Linked DNA regions of Schizosaccharomyces pombe. The protein of the gene in region 1 interacts with the protein of each later gene in a pairwise test. Each region holds a gene or a part of one and is shown on either strand. Other genes may lie near its edges. The genes, in order: ima1, ptp4 and SPOM_SPBC887.17.

Evidence for each region.
Region 2: the proteins of ima1 (region 1) and ptp4 interact in a protein complementation assay, tested with the Schizosaccharomyces pombe proteins (one large-scale study listed by BioGRID).
Region 3: the proteins of ima1 (region 1) and SPOM_SPBC887.17 interact in a protein complementation assay, tested with the Schizosaccharomyces pombe proteins (one large-scale study listed by BioGRID).

What each region holds. Positions count from the first base shown.
Region 1 is NC_003421.2:1,888,860-1,892,616, forward strand, and holds the start of ima1 (inner nuclear membrane protein Ima1), read right to left. Parts: upstream 2,006-3,757; 5' UTR 1,614-2,005; coding exon 1-1,613. Other genes in the region: SPOM_SPCC737.04 (uncharacterized protein), read left to right, coding at 3,238-3,757. UniProt on the Schizosaccharomyces pombe protein: Inner nuclear membrane protein that specifically binds to heterochromatic regions and promotes the tethering of centromeric DNA to the SUN-KASH complex.
Region 2 is NC_003423.3:1,276,727-1,280,345, reverse strand, and holds ptp4 (phosphatidate cytidylyltransferase Ptp4), read right to left. Parts: upstream 2,002-3,619; 5' UTR 1,989-2,001; coding exon 1,913-1,988; intron 1,876-1,912; coding exon 1,637-1,875; intron 1,315-1,636; coding exon 973-1,314; 3' UTR 547-972; downstream 1-546. Other genes in the region: ribose-phosphate pyrophosphokinase Prs5, read left to right, coding at 1-444; mitotic spindle checkpoint protein Mad1, read left to right, coding at 3,287-3,398, 3,449-3,619. UniProt on the Schizosaccharomyces pombe protein: CTP-dependent diacylglycerol kinase that catalyzes the phosphorylation of diacylglycerol (DAG) to phosphatidate (PA). Controls phosphatidate levels at the nuclear envelope. Counteracts the activity of PA phosphatase ned1.
Region 3 is NC_003423.3:3,573,414-3,577,170, reverse strand, and holds the start of SPOM_SPBC887.17 (transmembrane transporter), read right to left. Parts: upstream 1,729-3,757; 5' UTR 1,140-1,728; coding exon 1-1,139. Other genes in the region: SPOM_SPBC887.16 (uncharacterized protein), read right to left, coding at 1,921-2,250.

The DNA.
Region 1 (3,757 bases):
TTACTAAAATGACTTTCAAGGCTCACTGGCTCATTTTGAATTTCGCGATTTTGACCATCCCCTGCTTTACCAGTATCTTTCTTTGCAGTGGACTTTAAAGTAGACACGGAAAAAGGTAAATTCTTCTCTATCACGTTATCACCTTTTAGAGATATGGAAGGGTTCAGGGAAAATTTACTTGGCTGATTAGACGTCGTATGAATAGAATCGTTTACTTTGTTGCCCACTTCTTGAGGAACCAGTTTCGATAAAGGAGAATTTTGAAGCTGAAGAGTAGGTTTAAGCATCGGTCGAACAGGACTAGATGTTGGAAGGGCGGCCATTTTTTTTTGAAGAAAAGTCATAGGGGATTCCTCCGGAGCTCTCTCACGAACAGACTGATTTCCCAAATGAGACGTTGCGTTGGTATTATTCAGAATTGAAATTGTCGCAAATTGCTGCAATTTATTCTGCCCACTAATTCCATCTTTTCTGTCACTCGATTCCTTTCCTATCCGATGCACAGAAGATGTACTTTCCTGACGCTTCTTGCGTGGTTTCAAAATTTCGCCAGTCAAATGAACTTCTGGAGGAGGACTTGGCTTTAAACATGAGATGCTAATCCATGTAAAACAAATGGTAACAAAGAAAAAGGCTGCATGTATTTGACGGAGTAAAAAATCACTTTCAAGATTGGTATCCGAGCTTAAGTTCAAAATTTCCGACTCATAACATGAAAGGAGATACAAGCAAGTTAAACGGATAATAAGATAAAGTGCCTGACATTGGATATACTGATCCCGCCCAAAAAGCTCCCAAGATGGATTGTCCATCATTTTGTACCAATACGGGTTCCAAAAGACAACGAAAAAACCAAGCCAATTAAAGTAAAAAATTTTGCTAGAGGATCCATCTAATAGGAAGTAAGAGATTGCTTTTAGAAATAAATTACGAATACCATCTGGTAATAAGCTTATTATCATAGAATGATACAAATGCCACACAATCGATTGCAAATAGAAAAACGAAAAACCAAATCCACGAAGTAACCAAAGAACAAAAGAAGCTTTTGGATAGTGATGGGGGACTTTTGCGTTTAGCTGTTCCTTTGACTTTTGCAGCCAATATCCTAAAACCTGATTTTTGGCTTCATAATCATTGGCATCAAGTTGGTCTTGAACGGAGTCATAGCATTCAGAGCAAACAATGGGAAATTTCTCTTCTATAGATTTTTTATACTCTGGTAATGCCTTCTCATAAGCCTGATAATCTGGATGTGATGAGTCTGGCAGATAATCAGCAAGCATCCGATTCACAATCAGTTGGTTCATTTGACATTTTTCACAAAAGGGGCTCTGAAAGGAAGAACTGCTTGGGAAATCCCGTATCGCGTAAAAAGGACCAACACCCTTGTCTTGAGTTGGGGTTGGAGGTCGATAATCCAGGATATCACCTTTCTCATCAATATGGTTGGTGGCTTCACAAATTGAGCAAGTCCAAGTAGACGTTCCGTCTCTAATTTTTTCCTTCTTCTTGTTGCAATAAAAACAAGTTACTGTTTTATCACCAAAAGTGGATTTCAATCCATCATCGGAATTTCCCAATCCAAGTGTAAACAATCGGCTAGATTCCATTTCCCATTATACCATTTAATGCAAAGTTCTCATAGAATCCTGTGTGTGCAAATTTAAAAAAAAAAAGGGAAACAACAAGTCAAACCAGCACACGTAAGAAGAAAACCAAACAACTGATATTCTGTGAGTTAACGGAAATAAAATGCATGTAAATATCTTTTATATCAAGGTACAAGGTGTAATGGTACAGAGGACCCCTTATACAGAATGACCTTTATCAAACACTTGTGCTGCTTGACAAAGTAAAAGAGAAGTACTAAATAACGAGTGAAGTAACAATTAGATACACTTGAATAGTATAAAAGTTTTCTTGAAATGTTGAGCAAGAAAACTCGAAGATTTCGACTATACAGTTTCCCCACGGTGCTCGTGGTGAGAATAGGGAAAAGGCCGACCGTCAGCAGGGTCCCAAGCCAATTCGTAGCGGGTTGTCAGAACAAAGTTCAAACAAATTGAGGATAAAAGGAGTTTTTGAAGAAATGAGCTGTTTAATTTTTTTTTGTTTGTATTTTCTTTTTCGAGCTTCCTAGAAAAAAAAAATTTGAACCATTGTACCAGAAGAACGATCAGTGTTTGTGGCTTATTTTTAGAGCCTTACTTATGATATGCTCTACGACGCATTGAAGTGGAATGCAATGAGAAATATCTTAATAAATTTTCTTTTTAATAAAACCAACCGCTCTTAATTTGTTAGGTGAAAGTCAACAAAAAATCTTTTTGGTATTTTATGCAAATAATTCGTTTAACAAAAAGTTTAATAGTTTTTAAGTTCGCTTAATTTTTAAGCTACAAAGGAACGAGTTTGAGAAGTTGTGTAGAAAAGTATTGACAAAATGTAGGCTGAGTGGATGTCTACAACAATGCCTACAAGCCATCGTTAAATGTCAAATGTATTGATGAAACAAGCCGCTTTTAAATGAAAGATTGCATTTGCATCTTAAGCTTGCGCCAACATTGACTGTTGCCCCATTGTAAAAAAAAAATTCAATAATGTCTGTCAATGGAAACGGTGTATGTCACTGACTCCAAAAGGTCATAATCATGAATTAAGCACGAAAACGAAAATTTCATACAAGTAGTTCATTTTTACTTTTCAATCCTTATTGCATGTTGAGAAAGGAAATCTAGTCTTGTAACTATAAGCAATAGACAGCATGATCATCTCTATTCTATTACAAGTTGATTAAAATTGATATGCTGCGCCATTAATTAACTTACGAGAGGCTCATCGCTACGATGAAATGGCTTAGACCATGATTATACAAAATATTATAGGGTAGAGACGATTAGGAAATTGGATGTCTTCGTAAACTTGAAATAGGACGAGTTGCGAAAGTTGATGTTTTACGTGGCTTGGGGAGCGTTGTTAGGAAAAGCATGATGAAGATGGCAAAATGGCTAAGCTAAGATAAACGATTTCATATTTAGTATTTAACAGGAAACAAAGCCCTTTGGAAAGAACCAAATTTTAATAATTTTTTTTTTTTACTTCATTTCATTACCTTTTATTTTTAAGTTGGACGCACTGTGGTTTTGAGATTCTGGATATTGGTATCCTTTTTCTTCTTTTCTACGATTCTCGAAGTTTTAAAAGTTTCAAAGTATTTTACCGACATTCGACAATATGTCGATATCTAATCAATCGGGTTTGGATATTTTGAGAGAAGTTGATGATGAAGGTCAGGAAAACTCTTTCTTGAGAAAGACTACAAGGAAAATCCAGCAGTTTTTTAAATCGGATCCGGGCTATCAATCTCGCAAAGCCGAGTACAACAGTCCTGCTAAGGCTACGGGCGATGTGAATATTAATGTTACGAGTCAGGATTGGTTATCCAAGTTGGATCGTAATCTATCCATCGAGAATTTAACAGGTAAAAGCTTGGGTATCGTAGTAGTGTCTGGGAGAAATAAAGGTCTCATAAAGAATCCGTTTTTAGGGGGGTTAGTGGATATTGTTATGCGTCGACAGGATAAACTATATCTCAAAAGTGTTGAGCAAGTGTCTTCTGAATATTCACCGATGCAGGAACAGGTGTACGAGTTCAAAGTAGATATGCCTTTGGTGCAGAAACGATTAGGGGCTTTTTTAAAGAAGAATCGAGTAGATGGATTAAGCCTTTCGATGCATTTTTCTACCGGCAACT
Region 2 (3,619 bases), on another chromosome or scaffold:
GACGCTGGTGGTGCCAAACGTGCTACTGCTATTGCTGATGCTCTGGGTTTGGACTTTGCTTTAATTCATAAGAATCGCCGACATGAATACGGAACATCTTTGATGCTTGTTGGTGATGTACAAAACAAAGTCGCCATCCTCATCGACGATCTTATTGATACCGCTTACACACTAGTTCGAGCAGCAGAGTTTGTCAAAGAACATGGAGCTAGCAAAATCTATGCTCTCGTCACTCACTGTGTTTTATCAGGAGATGCTATTGAGCGTGTAAAACTTTCTTGCATTGACAAGCTTATTGTTACAAACACCGCTCCTCAAACTATTACACCAAGTGGATGTTTTGACATAATCGATGTCGCTCCTACCTTTGCGGAGGCAATTCGTCGCATACACAATGGTGAGAGTATTTCAATACTGTATGACCACAATCAAGTTTGGGTTTAACTGTACGTTGTTCATATTATTTAATTTGTTTTGATCTAGTTGGCTTAAGACTATCCGATTTTTTTTGATACTATCAATTGTCCTTTTTCTTTACTTTAACTTTAGACAGTTACATTGGAAATAATTATTATTTACTTTGAGTTGACAAAATGATTATCAAGCTAATTTCCTAAAACTAATTTCAACTTAGCTAATCTCTAGTGTAAAACTGCTAAATATAAGGTTCTTCACGACCATTATATATGTACAAGCTATGTAGAAACTATATAGGCAGTCTAATTGCACGATTTCGTCATGTTTCATACAAAAAGCCTAAAATTGTCTGGGTAATGAAGCTTGTAGGTATTTCTATACATTTTAACAGTATGTACGCATACTGGTTAGACGGAAAAAAGATGAACAATAGAAATGGTGATAAATGGAGGAGCGAATCAACAAAACATAACTATATTCAATAATTTTTCAAACGTGGTCGGGAAAGGACGAATGGAAAAAACAAAAGAATGTCAGTATAAAAGAACATGGTTATCACATGATTAAATATAGTAAACAGGCAGAAACGACAGGAATTACAAGGTTATCGTCAAGACCCCACACATCCATAGCTTCTGCAAAGGCACCAATAAATCCATTTATCAAGCAAAGCCAAGGGAAAGGAATTCTGCTTTGAGCGGCCAAGCTGTCAGGACCGGTACGAAACAAGCCCCAGTACACATAGCAACAAAAAACACCACAAACGAATGCGCCCAAACTTCCAGCCAAACTCTTATTTTTGGCAATTTTCGGGGTATACTTGCCCCATTTTCGACCAACGGTTGAGGCAGTAGTGTCACACCATGACAGTAAAAGGACACTCATTACTGCTATCTCCTGAACTTAGTTAGTAACTATGGCATAATATATAAGTAAAAGAAGAAGGAAGGTGAAGTTAGGAAAAGATCAAGCAAGGCAAAGTAGATTTGAGTAATCATGATCAAAAATACTAACTTAAACTCTATGCAACAACAATATGCTTGGTCTGACAAATACTTAGAATAGAAAATCATTCTCCGTGAAAAAATGGGTTCTATAGAGTAGTATGTCCAGTAAAAAACAAAACCCTTCGGATCGCCTGGAACAAGGAAAACCATATCTTCCTTTTTCTTAAAGAATAATAACAGTAATGATAGACATTACAATGACTTTTACTTACCTCTGGAAAAACTTTTAAAACAATCCATACCCCGATCATATAAAAAATAACACCATTCCATGCATTTTTTTCGGACTCTCGCATCAAAGGACCAATAACGCGATTGTAAAGGCGGCTGAAAGCTGGCCAGTTAAAACGAATTACATCTCCAGTAAATGCAGGTATGAATCCAATTTCTATAACCGGTATGATTTGAGCAGCGTGGTATCCACATCCCTGAAGTAATAGAGCAAAAAATCCTAGACCCGGTTAATCCAAGTCATAAAAACAACTTACCAATAGAAGTATGGAGTGCTTTACGGGGAATTTCATGCTTTTTGGACCATTGCGACCACGTCAATTTAGTCGACATTGGATGAGTATTCGCTCAGTAGTGTTTTCCAATCTAAAGGTATTTCTAATGGGTAAAAAAAAAATAGCGATACCGGCCGTGATGCAAGGAATCGGTATATGCGAGGCAAGGAATGTTCTCGCATATAGCTCACTATTTTTTTATCGTTGCACTATTCCTCCTTATTCCGTAAACATTATGAGCTAAAGTCAAAATTAATAGAATGAATGACTTCCTGAGAGTCCCAAAAGAAACCGATTTATTTCCTTCATCAGTTGGAAAAAATTTATTTATTTATCACTGCCAATATAAGAGCTCGACTTCCTAGATGAATAGCATAGCTTTGAAAGTGATTCGCAGGATGACTCAGTATCAAAACGAATGGGTTATACACTATATGGCTTTAGATGTAAATATTCTTTAGATGATATATTAAGAGAATTAATAACTGCATCGACATACAGCCAATGCAGAATCATTTATAAGTCACTGAACCTTCAGAATAGCGCAACGTGGATTTCGCTACTTTACGAAACTTTAGATGCTATTGTGAGCTCTTACGTTTCGCTTTTTGTTGTCAAATATGGGAGAATTAATTGAAAATATAAAGACAATTCTCAAGTACGCGAAAGTTTCTATTAAAAAGTAAAATGATAACTTGAATATGTATGCTAATAAAATTCCTAAAAGAAACTGAAACCATTTTAGAGCTTATATCATTGCCAAGCAATTTTGAAAATTAAATGCGAAAACCATTATTCTTTAGTTGATGAACTAGAAGTAATAATTTTTATTTAATAATAATAAGTCTGCTCAAAATCAGGTTTATTTTCAGTTATTGGTTAATTGTTCAAATTGAAGTTTTATTAAAAAAAAAAAAAAAAAAAAAAAAAAAAACTATTATAATTTATGTTAAGACTACGTAAGTTCCTTAGGGTACGCGATTTGGTCTAGCAATTTAAATAAATAATAATAATATCAATATAAAAAAACTAGAAGACTTAAAAGCTTTTATGTTCACACGTGCATCGAAAATTGATTAAGGAATTCAACACATTAAATATATAATATAATAATAACAAGGTCTATGATTTAAAAAAAAAGAAAAAGTAATAAGTTCCATTAATTTAGATATCATTAAACAAGTATGTTGTTTGAGCATATGCAGTCAGTCCTACCTTTCTTTAATTCCCTGATTTCAATAAATTACTGAGATGCAATTTGTCCTCCATATTGTCAATATTATATTAAAGAGGTATACCAAAAATCAATTTCTCACTATGAGCTCCAAGCTGACAGTGTATCAAGCGACTACATCCATGGCGGATTCTCCTAGGGATCCGTTCCAATCGCGTTCACAGTTGCCTAGATTTCTAGCAACAAGCGTTAAGAAACCAAATTTGAAGAAGCCTTCTGTTAATTCTGCTAATGGTATGTGAAACTTATATTTGACGTTTGTTTATGGATCTGACACCCTGTAGAAACAAAAAATCCCAAACTAGCTTCTTTAGAATTTCAACTAGAAAACCTAAAAAATGATTTAAAGCGGAAGGAACTGGAATTTGAGCGTGAACAAATTGAGTTGCAAAGAAAACTTGCAGAAGAACATGAACAGAAGAATTCGTTACAGCTGCGTCTAACTCTAGTTGAAA
Region 3 (3,757 bases), on another chromosome or scaffold:
ATAGAAATACTTAAAGCATCGACGATGTAAGCAACTGCGGATCCTTCAAAGTCTTGAGTACGAGGATCGACCAAACCAGCATAGTTAGCCATTGAGTAAAGTGTACCAGTCATATCCATAATGTCAACGTACAGAAAAGTAATCAGTGCAATGGCAAATTGACCGCCTGTAACGTTCCACTGTTGGGCAACAAGAATACGGTTAATTTTTCGAAAGCTAACAACCTTTTTGAAAAAATCAAAATTATAATCCCCTGTAAGCGTGTGGGGAAACATAGTTACTAATGAGCGTCTAGGCCAACTTGTGATAGTGACAAGTGCGATTCCAGCAAGGACAGCACCTTTAAATTTGTACATCATTAAAATAGCAGTGAGAACACCGCCACAGAATATACCTACCCACATTCTTCCTGATTGTAATTGATGACCGTTGCAGCTATAATCAGCGTTTAGGTATTCTGGAGGGCATCCTCCTAAAGCGACAATATCAGATGAGGAATGCCCAATGACTCCTAACCCAGCACTTGGACTGAGTCCGATAATTGTGAGATACAAACCAATACCAGCACCAGTAGCAAATTTCAAAGAGGCAGGAATAACTCGCGCCAGCCATTGGCGTAGACCTATAACAGTTAAACCAGTAAAGATGAATCCTTCAACAAAAACAGCTAAAAGAGCTTCTCGATAGGAAACACGTCCAGTGCCATTATATCCGACAACTTGGTACGCAAAATAAGCATTTAAACCCATACCAGGGGCCATACCCACGGGCATATTGGCAAAAAGACCCATGCAGAAAGAAGCGAGAGCAGAAATGGCAGCGGTGGCTGTGACGAGATCACGATGAAAGTCTTCTTTGCAAAGTACATAGTCATCAAGTTTGTCACAATCATCACGATTAGCTTCAGTACATTCGCAAGTGCCGCCCGTATCTACGAGAATGGTAGCATTGACAGCCAAAATGTAAGCCATTGCAAAAAAGGTAGTAAGACCAGCACTAATTTCGAGAGAAAAGCGACTGCCTTTACGCTCCCGAGGATGACCACATCCCTCTAGACGAAACCAACGTCCGAATGCCGAACGAGCGACGATCACGTCGAACTCTTCGACCCAATTCCTTACTTTTTGTGTGATGCTCATCTTCTCGATAAACTAAGGAAAAAAAGAAAAGAGGATTGAAATATTAAAACAATAAAAACGAGAATACTTATAATATATGTATATATATTACACTAGGTATCCAAATAACCTGCCGAGGATAAATAAAACACAACAAATCAACGGAAAGATCCGTGTTAATGCTAAGCAAAAAGCCCTTTTCACAAAAATAGATTACTTATTAAAGATACAAATATTAGAGAAATCCCAAAACCCACAAGGAAAGAAACCGATTTTGCTTCCAAACCTCAAAAACAGTAAAAGCAATTTAAAAAACTTTTGATGAAATTGTAAACAAAGATCGAGATAAAAGCAATCTAATCTTTAAAGTTGTTTGATCAAAGCCGTTTTCTAAAATCCAGAACCTTTTCGACCTACCACTAATCTAAAAATTTTCTGCTAAGCGATGAATCTCGATCTCAACGTGAAGATTGAAAAAACTTTATAATCCTTATCAACTGGATGCAAACCTACACCTAATTAAGTACAACAGTGAGTTTTCAGTCCAGGACCTCTTTATTACTGCAAAGAAATAGAAATTGGTGTTTAGAAAAAAGTTTGTAAAAAATGCAAAGTGTCGCTGATGGACCCAAGGACTGTTAAATACTAGTCAAATTTGGGCGCTTATATTTAACAGCCAATAGCTGTGCTATCAGATACTGCGTCAATTTCGCTACTTCAAAAAATGAGATAAACTCAAAATTCCACTGCCAATAACCTACTCCAAAGATATAAAAAATTCTTAAAAGTAACAATGATAACATTAGTAGTATTCTTCACAAATAATCGACATGCGAAAATTGCAAGAATACAAATGTATTCTGAAAAATAAAATGAAATTAAGCAGCCAAAAAAGAAAGAAAAAATGAAGATTACTAAAACTATTTTTGAATTCTGTCTTTGCTAAAGTTATTGCTTCTCTTTCTACTACTTGCATTAGTAACAGGGGGGTTTCATGTAGATAACCCTCACATACTCTCTCACGTTGACGCTGAATGCTAGGAGCAAAAAAATTAATTAAACCCGTTTTAACGACTTTAACTTGAGCACACCACAGGACTTTGTAAGGATATTGTAAATTGGTCCGAGCCATGTTTAAGATATCACCTATACAAACATATTTATATCACATTTGTTCGTTTTTGCAATCGCTTATCAAAATTCATGCAATTATAAGATAATTAAAGTAAACGAAATCATTAAGGTAAGTGATTATAGATTTAATACTTGTGCTCGTTCGTTTGGTGAGTTTTCTCTGACGGTACAGATACAAGATTATTTTGACTTGAATACCCCCATTATTGAACCTTCATAGTAAAAAGAAAAACACATGTGGGGGACATATGCTGGTAGGTGCAGCTAATACTAAAAGTTAAAGTGGGGAAAAAGACCTTACTGGGGGTACATAAGTTTATATGCTATAGAAGGTTAGCAAATGATTTTAACTGTGGTATGAAATTAAAGTGGGATAAAAAGACTTCAGTGGGGGATTCAAGAATTCATTTAGGGAAATCCTTGAAGTATGAAAATTTGAAACGATATAGATACAAGTAAACTACGCATAATTCACAAGGCGGTATTCGAAAAATGAAATTCTTAAAAGACTATCAAGCGTTATTTTATTATATTATTATTTACTACTTTTTTTTTTGTACTAACAGCTTTACTATATCTTTTTCTTAATGCAGCTACCAGGATATTTGTACTGCAAAGCACCCGACTGTAATGTTCACTCTTAATACATTCATTAGTAGTTTTTCCAAATCCATATGTTTTTAGCCGGCTAAGGTATAATGTACTTTAAAAATCGCTGCTGATCTAGTCAAAAGTTTAATGGAAATCATCCACTGTATTACGAAACATATAGTATTTTTAACTGTGTCGCACTAATTAAACAAAGGTTGTAGCAGCTTTTAGGCAGCTGGGATGGATTTTTCAACCAAGATAACAAAACCGTCAATTATTAGACAGGAATCCAAAATTATTGATTCCTTTTTATTATTGCATTTTCAATTCCAAAACATGCAAAACAGAAGAGATGTCAATGGCATCCCGGTAAATAAAAGAGTCCTTTTTTTAGAGGGGATGGGGACCGGCATTTTACCAATTTGGTACAAATCAGTCAATCTAACTATTAAATGGATTTGCAAGTTAATTCATTGGATCCTATGAGTTTAAGGTATGCTACTCCTAGTGTGAATGGTATTCTATGTTGATTGTTTATAGCTTTTCTTTCTACGCATGCACATCTGTTATGAAAGCACAATCATATAAAATTACACGGAATCATTGTTTAGCAATAGCACGCTGACAATTTCACAGGTCGCTTCAGTGCTATTTTCTATTTACAAGCCGTGGTAGTTTAATTATCGACATTATGTTATTTTTTGTTGAAAATAGCAATATCAAGTGTCCTTCGTAGTCGCTTCATAAAAAGTCAATTCTCTTTGTACCGAAAATTAAAACCCATTCAATTGCTGTCTTTCGCTGAAATTGTTAAATTACTAACGACCTAGACGGATTCCAAACAAAAAACGGAAAACAAATTTTTTTTTTTTTGTCAAACGATTTTTTTTACTATCTGTGTTCAGCGGAATGTA